Linked DNA regions of Elephas maximus indicus. The protein of the gene in region 1 purifies or fractionates together with the protein of each later gene. This does not show direct contact. Links are inferred from orthologs where the notes say so. Each region holds a gene or a part of one and is shown on either strand. Other genes may lie near its edges. The genes, in order: AICDA and CTNNBL1.

Evidence for each region.
Region 2: the proteins of AICDA (region 1) and CTNNBL1 purify together in Homo sapiens (affinity purification with western blotting; 3 studies listed by BioGRID, with this or other methods). This does not show direct contact. The link is inferred for Elephas maximus indicus from reciprocal best matches to the Homo sapiens genes AICDA and CTNNBL1.

What each region holds. Positions count from the first base shown.
Region 1 is NC_064822.1:65,806,043-65,809,961, reverse strand, and holds the start of AICDA (single-stranded DNA cytosine deaminase), read left to right. Parts: upstream 1-835; 5' UTR 836-899; coding exon 900-907; intron 908-3,919. UniProt on the Homo sapiens protein: Single-stranded DNA-specific cytidine deaminase. Involved in somatic hypermutation (SHM), gene conversion, and class-switch recombination (CSR) in B-lymphocytes by deaminating C to U during transcription of Ig-variable (V) and Ig-switch (S) region DNA.
Region 2 is NC_064843.1:31,850,054-31,853,972, forward strand, and holds the start of CTNNBL1 (beta-catenin-like protein 1), read right to left. Parts: upstream 3,081-3,919; 5' UTR 2,989-3,080; coding exon 2,959-2,988; intron 1-2,958. UniProt on the Homo sapiens protein: Component of the PRP19-CDC5L complex that forms an integral part of the spliceosome and is required for activating pre-mRNA splicing.

The DNA.
Region 1 (3,919 bases):
GGATGGGATATAAGAGAGAAACAATACTTTTAATAGACTAAGTTGTATGAGAGCAGGAACTGGAGCCTCGAACTTGAAAAGCTCAGCCTATTTTCCAAGTTCAATGCAGTCATTTAGATACTGCTTCTGTTTGGTGAAACAAGCATTTGGTATTGCTTGGGGGTGCTGTTGCATCTGTCTTTGAATTAAATATATGATTTTGTGGAAAAGATGGCTTGTGCAAAAATTATTCTTTGGGGTCAACATATAGTCTTCTAGCAATTGTTGTAATGCAATCAGAAACAAAAAAGCAGTGATTTGGGAAGCAAAATTCCTGTGTCTTAAATCCTGTAACTGATTGAATTTAATTGCTCAGCAATAAAGCAGGGGCTGTTTAGTGCCTGTCTCTATGAAGGTTACAGAGCAATTGTGTAATTAAATGAGGTAATAGATGCTTTCAGCTCACAGAACGCAAGATGCTATTTAAATGAGCATTATAATTATTATGATTTTAAATTTAAGCATATTGTTTGTTACCACGATAATAATTTAAGTAGTGCTTACCACCACTGCCTCTGGATATTTGATGTCTGTGAGGCATGGTTTGGATTTTTAGAGAAGCAGTCCTAGAGGACCCTAAGCATTAAGCAGAGCTTCCCCCAGTCATTTAACCCATGTGACGCTGCCTATGACAACCCCTTCTTTCTTCACTGGGCCCAAATCAGGAGGTAGGCTATTGGGGTACCTGGTGATGTGGGGGGAGGAGCCCAAAAGGGCAAGCTTAAATTTGAATGTGTGGGGCCAGTGCCCTCACACTGTCAGACAGAGTCAGTGAAGCAGCAGTGCTTGAGGCAAGATTTCCTTGGCCCTTTGCCTAAGACTTTGAGGGAGCCACCAAGAAAGACACCCTGGAGACCTCAATGGACAGGTAAAGAGGCAGTCACCTCATGGGTCTCCAGCGGGTGGTTTCATTGGCTTTCCTCTCAGAGCAAACCTGAATAATAAGATTGGTATCTATCTGTTCCTTTCTCTCCTATGGGACTCCCAGGATCTGCTTGTTTAATATGCTTACTTATTCTTCTGGACCTGTCTTATGTACCGTGCTCTATTCAGATTTTGCCTGCTCTGAACCTAATCCTCTCTGCTTCATACTTCTACCTCTCTTTTCCAGGTTGCATAAGAGTTTTATGCACTGTATACTGACATACCCTGAGTTTTGTGTTGCAGTTAGAAGTAGTGTACAGTCATAATATTAATACAGCAAATGTTTAGAGACTCGTATCATCAAAAGATAGCAGCAATACTATATGAAATACAGTGGCAATTGTAATAATAACTTTGTAAATATTTTAACAGTCAAACCACTTGAAGACAAACTCTCCTAAGGTGATTTTACTGAACAATTAAGCTACATAGTAAGAAAATTTGTGTTTTTTAAAAAATACCAATCATTCAAAATTAAATGCCTGAAGGTCACTATGATTCTGTCTGTAGTAAGGAGAAAAATTTATTCAAGCAAGTTGTTTAATGGAATGGTCCAATTGTTAGGCAGTTGGTGGCATATTTACTTTTTAACAAGATCTTGGATTTGTGTACACATGGCTTAACTTCTTAAATGTGGCTTTTATAAGATTTTCATGTCTATACACGCAGTTTATGATAACCAAGTTATTATCATAGAATTGCATCTCAGTTTTTATGATCATTACGAACATATTAAAATCATACCAATCCGTAGACTTTATCTCAATTTTATCTATCTATCTACATAGAACTTATACTACAGAGCTAAGATTTTTACGGGTAGATTAAATGTTCTTCAGAAATTTTTCTTGAGGGCAAACAGTGTTGAATGTCTCAGTATGCAGTGAGATTTTGACAGTTATTTAAAAAACCAACCTGAGGCACAAGTCAATAACACTCTGTTGTCAGAGGTGCAAGTCCAGTGGACATGCTTGTATATAATGAAACGCAAAGCAATGGTAAAATTAGCAGTGGAGACTCAGAGAAAGACAAATTAAAAAGGAGAAAGATGAAATTCAACGGAAGAGAAAGGAAAATATATAATTATCACTAAGGAAGTTAATATCTGCAGTGCTTATTAGTGATGGCACCCCACAGGAGAGAATAACTTTGTCAGGATTATTTTTTTACCCATTTTCTCTCTGGTTTGCATTGCTGGGGACACACAGCTAGGGTTCTGCCTCAGGGAACCCAGCTGTCCAGAGCAGCTGTCAACCAGCAGACTTGAAAAATTGCTTCTGCAACATCCTTTGTAACCGAAAAAGAAAGCTCCTCTACACCCCCAACAGGCCCTGGATGGCGAAAGCAGTTTGCTATCGGTTACTAACACAAAGGTTGGTGGTTCGAACCCACCCAGTAGTGCCATGCAAGAAAGTCCTGGTGATCTGCTTCCATAAAGATTACAGCCAAGAAAACCCCATGAAACACCGTTCTACCCTGTAACACATGGGATTGCCGTGAGTTGGAATCTACTCAACAGCAACAGGTTTGAGTTTGGCTTTTCTACCAAGAGAAGAACAGGGTGCTGGAGACAGGCTACTAGCTAGAGTAGAAGGGAAATGATGGCTCAAGAAAATTAATTAACGGGTCATGATCATGGAAATCATTTCCCTGTGACTGGCAGCTTGTGACAGAAAAAGTAAGGGGCTATTATATTTTTCATATGGGGTACCCAAAACCAAACTCACTGCCGTTGAGTCATTTCCAGCTCATTCAACCCTGTGGGATGGAGTAGAACTGCCACATAGGGTTTCCAAGGCTATGAGCTTTAGGGAAGCTGACTGCTACATCTGTCTCCTGCAAAGCAGCTGGTAGGCTTGAACCACTGACCTTTCAGTTAGCAGCCAAGTGCTTTAAGCACTGTGCTACCAGGGCTCCTCCTCATGTGGGGTAAGAAGTAAAAAGTCCATCCGAACTCAATGTTGTGCCCTCTTCTTCTATATTCCCGGAACACTTTTTCTTCTTCATGATAACAGTTTTTTCCTCTGCCTTTCTGATCCATGCAGCCCAGGAGGGTAGGTGAAATGTATAAGAAGTTTATCAGTAAACTTAATTGGTGCTTAATCTGTTTAAAACTGACTGGGCTCCCAAAGGAAAATATGGGTTTTTTTTGTTTTCTTCTTCAGTATTTATTAAGCATTGAGATTATATATGTTAATGGTTATTATATGACTCAATAGCACCTAACAACAACAACATATAATAACAGTAATAGTAATGGTGGTGTTATGTTGATTACCTACCATAATAAGCTCTTGTCTACTGTTGGATCTTTGTCAGCATTCATTTTAGATTGCTGCCAAATATGCGATTTCTTAATTTAAAAAAAAAAGGGGGGCACAGTAAAATGGTTGAGTAATTTTTAAATTGTTTGATGTAATATATATCATATGTATACTGGTGATAAATCTAGTTCTCTGCCTCAGGCTGTAAAGTGCTTTCCAATAAGCTTCATGCGTATGAGAGGAGACATTTAAATGGAAACTGCTAAAGAGCACTCATCCTTAGTTGTCTACTTATAAAGTTAAAACTTTGTTAGCTTTTAAAGTCACCATCTATCAGCCACATCTCATTATTAAAATGTCAACTCCCAACATATGTCCACAAAAAGACTGGCGCAGGAGTGGGTGGAGGAGTGTTCACAGCAGCTCTGTTCATAATAGTCCCAAACTGGAAACAATCCTTATGTCCAATAACACTGACTGGATAATAAAATGCGCTATATCCACACAACTGAATACTTCCCTGCAGTAACAACTCCGTTGCCTTCAAGTCGATTCCCTCTTACAGAGACCCTACAAGACAGAGTACAATTGCCCCATAGGGTTTCTAAGGAGTGGCTAGTGGATTTGAACAGCCCACCTTTTGGTTAGCAGCTGAGCTCTTAACCACTGCGCCACCAGGGCTCCTACCCTGC
Region 2 (3,919 bases), on another chromosome or scaffold:
AAAAAAAAAAAAAAGAAAATGTTCTACATCCTACCTTGGTGAGTAGGATCTGAGATCTTGAAAGCCTGCAGGCAGGCATATAAGATACATCTATCGGTCCCATCCTGTTCAGAGCAAACGAAACTGAAGAAAACCAAAGACAGAAGTAAAATATTAGTCCAAGGACTAATGGACCACATAAACCACAGCCTGAGCCTAGAAGAACTAGATGGTGCCTGGCTACCACCACCAATCGCTCTGACAGGGATTACAATGGACGGCTCTGGACGGAGTGGGAGAAAGATGTATAACAAAATCCAAATTCAGCAAAAACAAAACAAAACAAAAAAACACCCAGACTTCTTGGCCTCACAGAGACTGGAGGAACTCTCAAGACTATGGCCCCCGGACACCCTGCTAACTCAGCATTGAAGCCACTCCTGAAGCCCACTTTTCAGCCAAAGATTAGACAAACCTATAAAACAAACAATAACACAAGTGAGGAACACGATTATTAGTTCAATCAAGTATACAAGACCAAATGGGCAACACCTGCCCAAAAGCAAAGACAAGTAGGCAGGAAGGGGCAGGAAAACTGGATGAATGGGCACAGGAACTGGGGTGGAAAGGGACAGGGGGAGAGTGCTGACCTAATGTGGGGATTGCAACCTATGTCACAAAACAATTTGCGTGTGTATTTCTGAATGAGAAACTAACTTGCGCTGTAAACTTTCACCTAAAGCACAATAAAATTAAGAAAAAAAAATTACATAACATTAAAGGGCAAATACAAGTTGTCCATAAATTGGATGTTCATAGCATGGGGACTGCCTGTACACCCATCATTCGCTTATCAACATGGTTAGGTTCCAAAGACCAGGTCATTATGTGAAAACTGGCGTTACATGAATATGGAAGATGGCTACATCATTACATGACAACCAAATTACATTATTATATAACTGCCAAACCACTGAGAATCACGGCCCAGCCAAGCTGACACATAATCTTAACCATCACAGCCAGCGTAACTCTCGCCTTGCACTTCAGCATTCATTACTACCAGATATTCACTGTCACAAAACAGTCGGTTTTTTATTATTGTTGTAAAATGTGAAATGTTGGATAACAAGACAGTTGATAAGTAGGGAGTAAGTGTATACCTCCTTCCTTACAAATTCCTTCCCATCATGTCTGGAGTCGCCAGGTCAGTTTTTGATATGTTGGATGAAAGAGTGGCACAAAAATAATAGTTAACATTTACTGACAGCCTGCTGAGCAGGTTTCAGTGGAGCTTTCAGACTAAGATGGACTAGGAAGAAAGACCTGGCAACCAACCTACTTCCAAAAATCCGCCAATTAAAACCTTATGGATCACAAGTATCTGATCTCCAACCGATCTTAGCTGCAAAACCAGACAGCATTTTCTTCTGTTGTGCACAGGGTCTGACTTAACCGCAGCTATCAACAACTGAACATTTACCCTTTGACAGGCATTGGTCTAAGCCATTTACATTTATGTTTCAAAACAGACCCGTGAGGTAGCAAACAACACTGTCCCATTTACGGATGAGAAAACCAAGGCATAGAGAGATTAACTACTGTTCAAGTCTACAGCAGTAGGTTAGCAGCAAAAATAAGATTGCAAGTAACCTGGGCCTCCAAATTCATGCCTTTCAGGCTCTTTTTATCTGTCCAATAAAAATACAATGTCATCTATATGTGTAAATTTAAATTTTCTAGTAGCTGCATTACAAAGTCAACCAAAAACGGGTGAAATTTACTTTAAATATACTTTATTTAGCCCCTTATCCAAAATATGATTATTTAATCAAGATAAATCAATATGACCAATATAATCATGCAATCAATATAAAAAATTTTACACTCTTTTCATATTGTCTTCAAAATCTAGTGTGAATTTTAGACTTAAAGCACTTCTCGATTCAGACTAGCCACGTTACAAGTGTTCAATAGCCACATGTGGCTAGTGGCTACAGTACTGCACCGTGCACCTCAACTGCCTCGCAAAAGAAGCCTCTTGGGGGCCTAAAGGGAGGATAAAACTTGGGGCTGGCAGCCAGGAGACCTGAGCTCTTACTTGTTGACTGACTTTTGGGCAAGTGTCCACCCTCTGGACCAGTTTTCCAACAAGCAGTGTGAGCAATGGGGACAAGGAAATTCCTAGGGTTCCTTGTCCCCATTGAATCCCATGCTTGAATTCCAAACATCTCCCAACAACGGCAGTTAACATGGGTACAGCTTTCCACAGTTTAAAATCAGCTTTCACATCCATTAGCTAACAGAGTTCTCAAACAACCGTAAACCCGTTGCCGTCGAGGCGATTCCAACTCACGGTTATTGATGTCTCTATAGTTAAAAAAGGAAACCCTGGTGGTGTAGTGGTTAAGTGCTATGGCTGCTAACCACAGGGTCTGCAGTTCGAATCCGCCAGGCGCTCCTTGGAAACTCTATGGGGCAGTTACACTCTGTCCTATAGGGTCGCTGTAAGTCGGAATCGACTCGACGGCAATGGGTATAGTTAGAATAGCTGAGCCTCGTAGAGGAAGAAATGAGTTGATGCAAAGTCACATAGCCAGTCAATGGAGACTCGAGCTCAAAGCCAGGAAAGGCCAGCGCTGCTCTCAATGACTGAGGGAAGAAGACAGCGGAGGGGAATGGTTGTGAAGACAGGGCAGTTTGGCGCCTTCAGAGAAGTTCCAGGGAGCAAGGCCTGTGGGTGGGGTGAGCAGGGCCCAGACAGTTGTGAGAAGAGGCGAGGGGGCCAGGGCCTTGACAAGGAACTAACTGAAAGGCCCAAGGGGGTTCCCGGGAGAGCGAAGTGAAATGAGCGGCTCGGACCCGGGCCGGCACGCAGAGAAGAGGGAGCCAGGCCCCAGAACGAAAAGAGAGGACGTGCATTAAAGGGACCCTGGTTCTGCGAGAGGGCGGAACCCCGGCCCTGCCCACCCCTTCTACCTGGTAGCTCAGAAGTTCTCCCACGTCCATGGTTCCCTGCCCAGCCAACGCCGGCGACGTCGGTTCCCTCCACTCACGCCAAAAACGCGGCTCGCAGTTTCTCCAGACACACTGCCGTAAAGCGCCGCGAGCCGGCCTCAGAGCCAATCGGGTAAAAGTGCGCACGACGAGCTGGACCGCCACACTGCGGTAAAAGGCAGCGCCACCGTAAACCGCGCTGCATTGAGGACACTGCTGTTTCCGCCTGGAGCCTGAGCGGGGCGGGGCAGGGGGCGGAGACCTGGAGGAGGGCGGTAGGAGGAGAGGAAAGGCAGAAAGTAGCCGGAGTTTATCGCGCACCCCTTTGGGCAGGGCGGAGGGCTGGGTGTTTCACTTGTGTTTTCGCAGCGCTTCCTGGGCAGTTTTATTCTCAAATGAAGGCGCCCTGGTGGCGCAGTGGCTAAAGCATTCGACTTCTAACCGAAAGGTTGGCGGCTTGAACCCACCGGCTGCAGGGGGAGAAACATGTGGTAGTCGTCTTGCAGAAAGATTACAGCCTTGGAAACCCTATGGGGCCGTTCTTCTCTGCCCTATAGGGTCTCTCTGTGTGTGGGAATCAACTGGTTGGCAGTGAGTTTGGGTTTTTTTGGGTTTTAATCCTCGGATAGTTTTTCACAGATAAACTGAGGCACTGCACAGTACATACCCACTAACTTCATGTGGCTGCCAACTGCTTGATATATGGCTAGCCGAAATTAAGGGTACCATAGGTGCTGGGTGTTTGAGCTCAACTACTAACCTAAAGATTGGTGGAAGAAAGGCCTGGAGATCTACTTCCAAAAAGTCAGCCATTGAAAACCTTACAGAGGGTTTTCTATACACGGACACACGTGGGGTCACCAAAAGTCTGAATGGACTCCTGGCCAACTGTCTTTTGTTTCGTTTTTTAAATAAGAGCTGATGCATGTAGAGCACTTTGCAC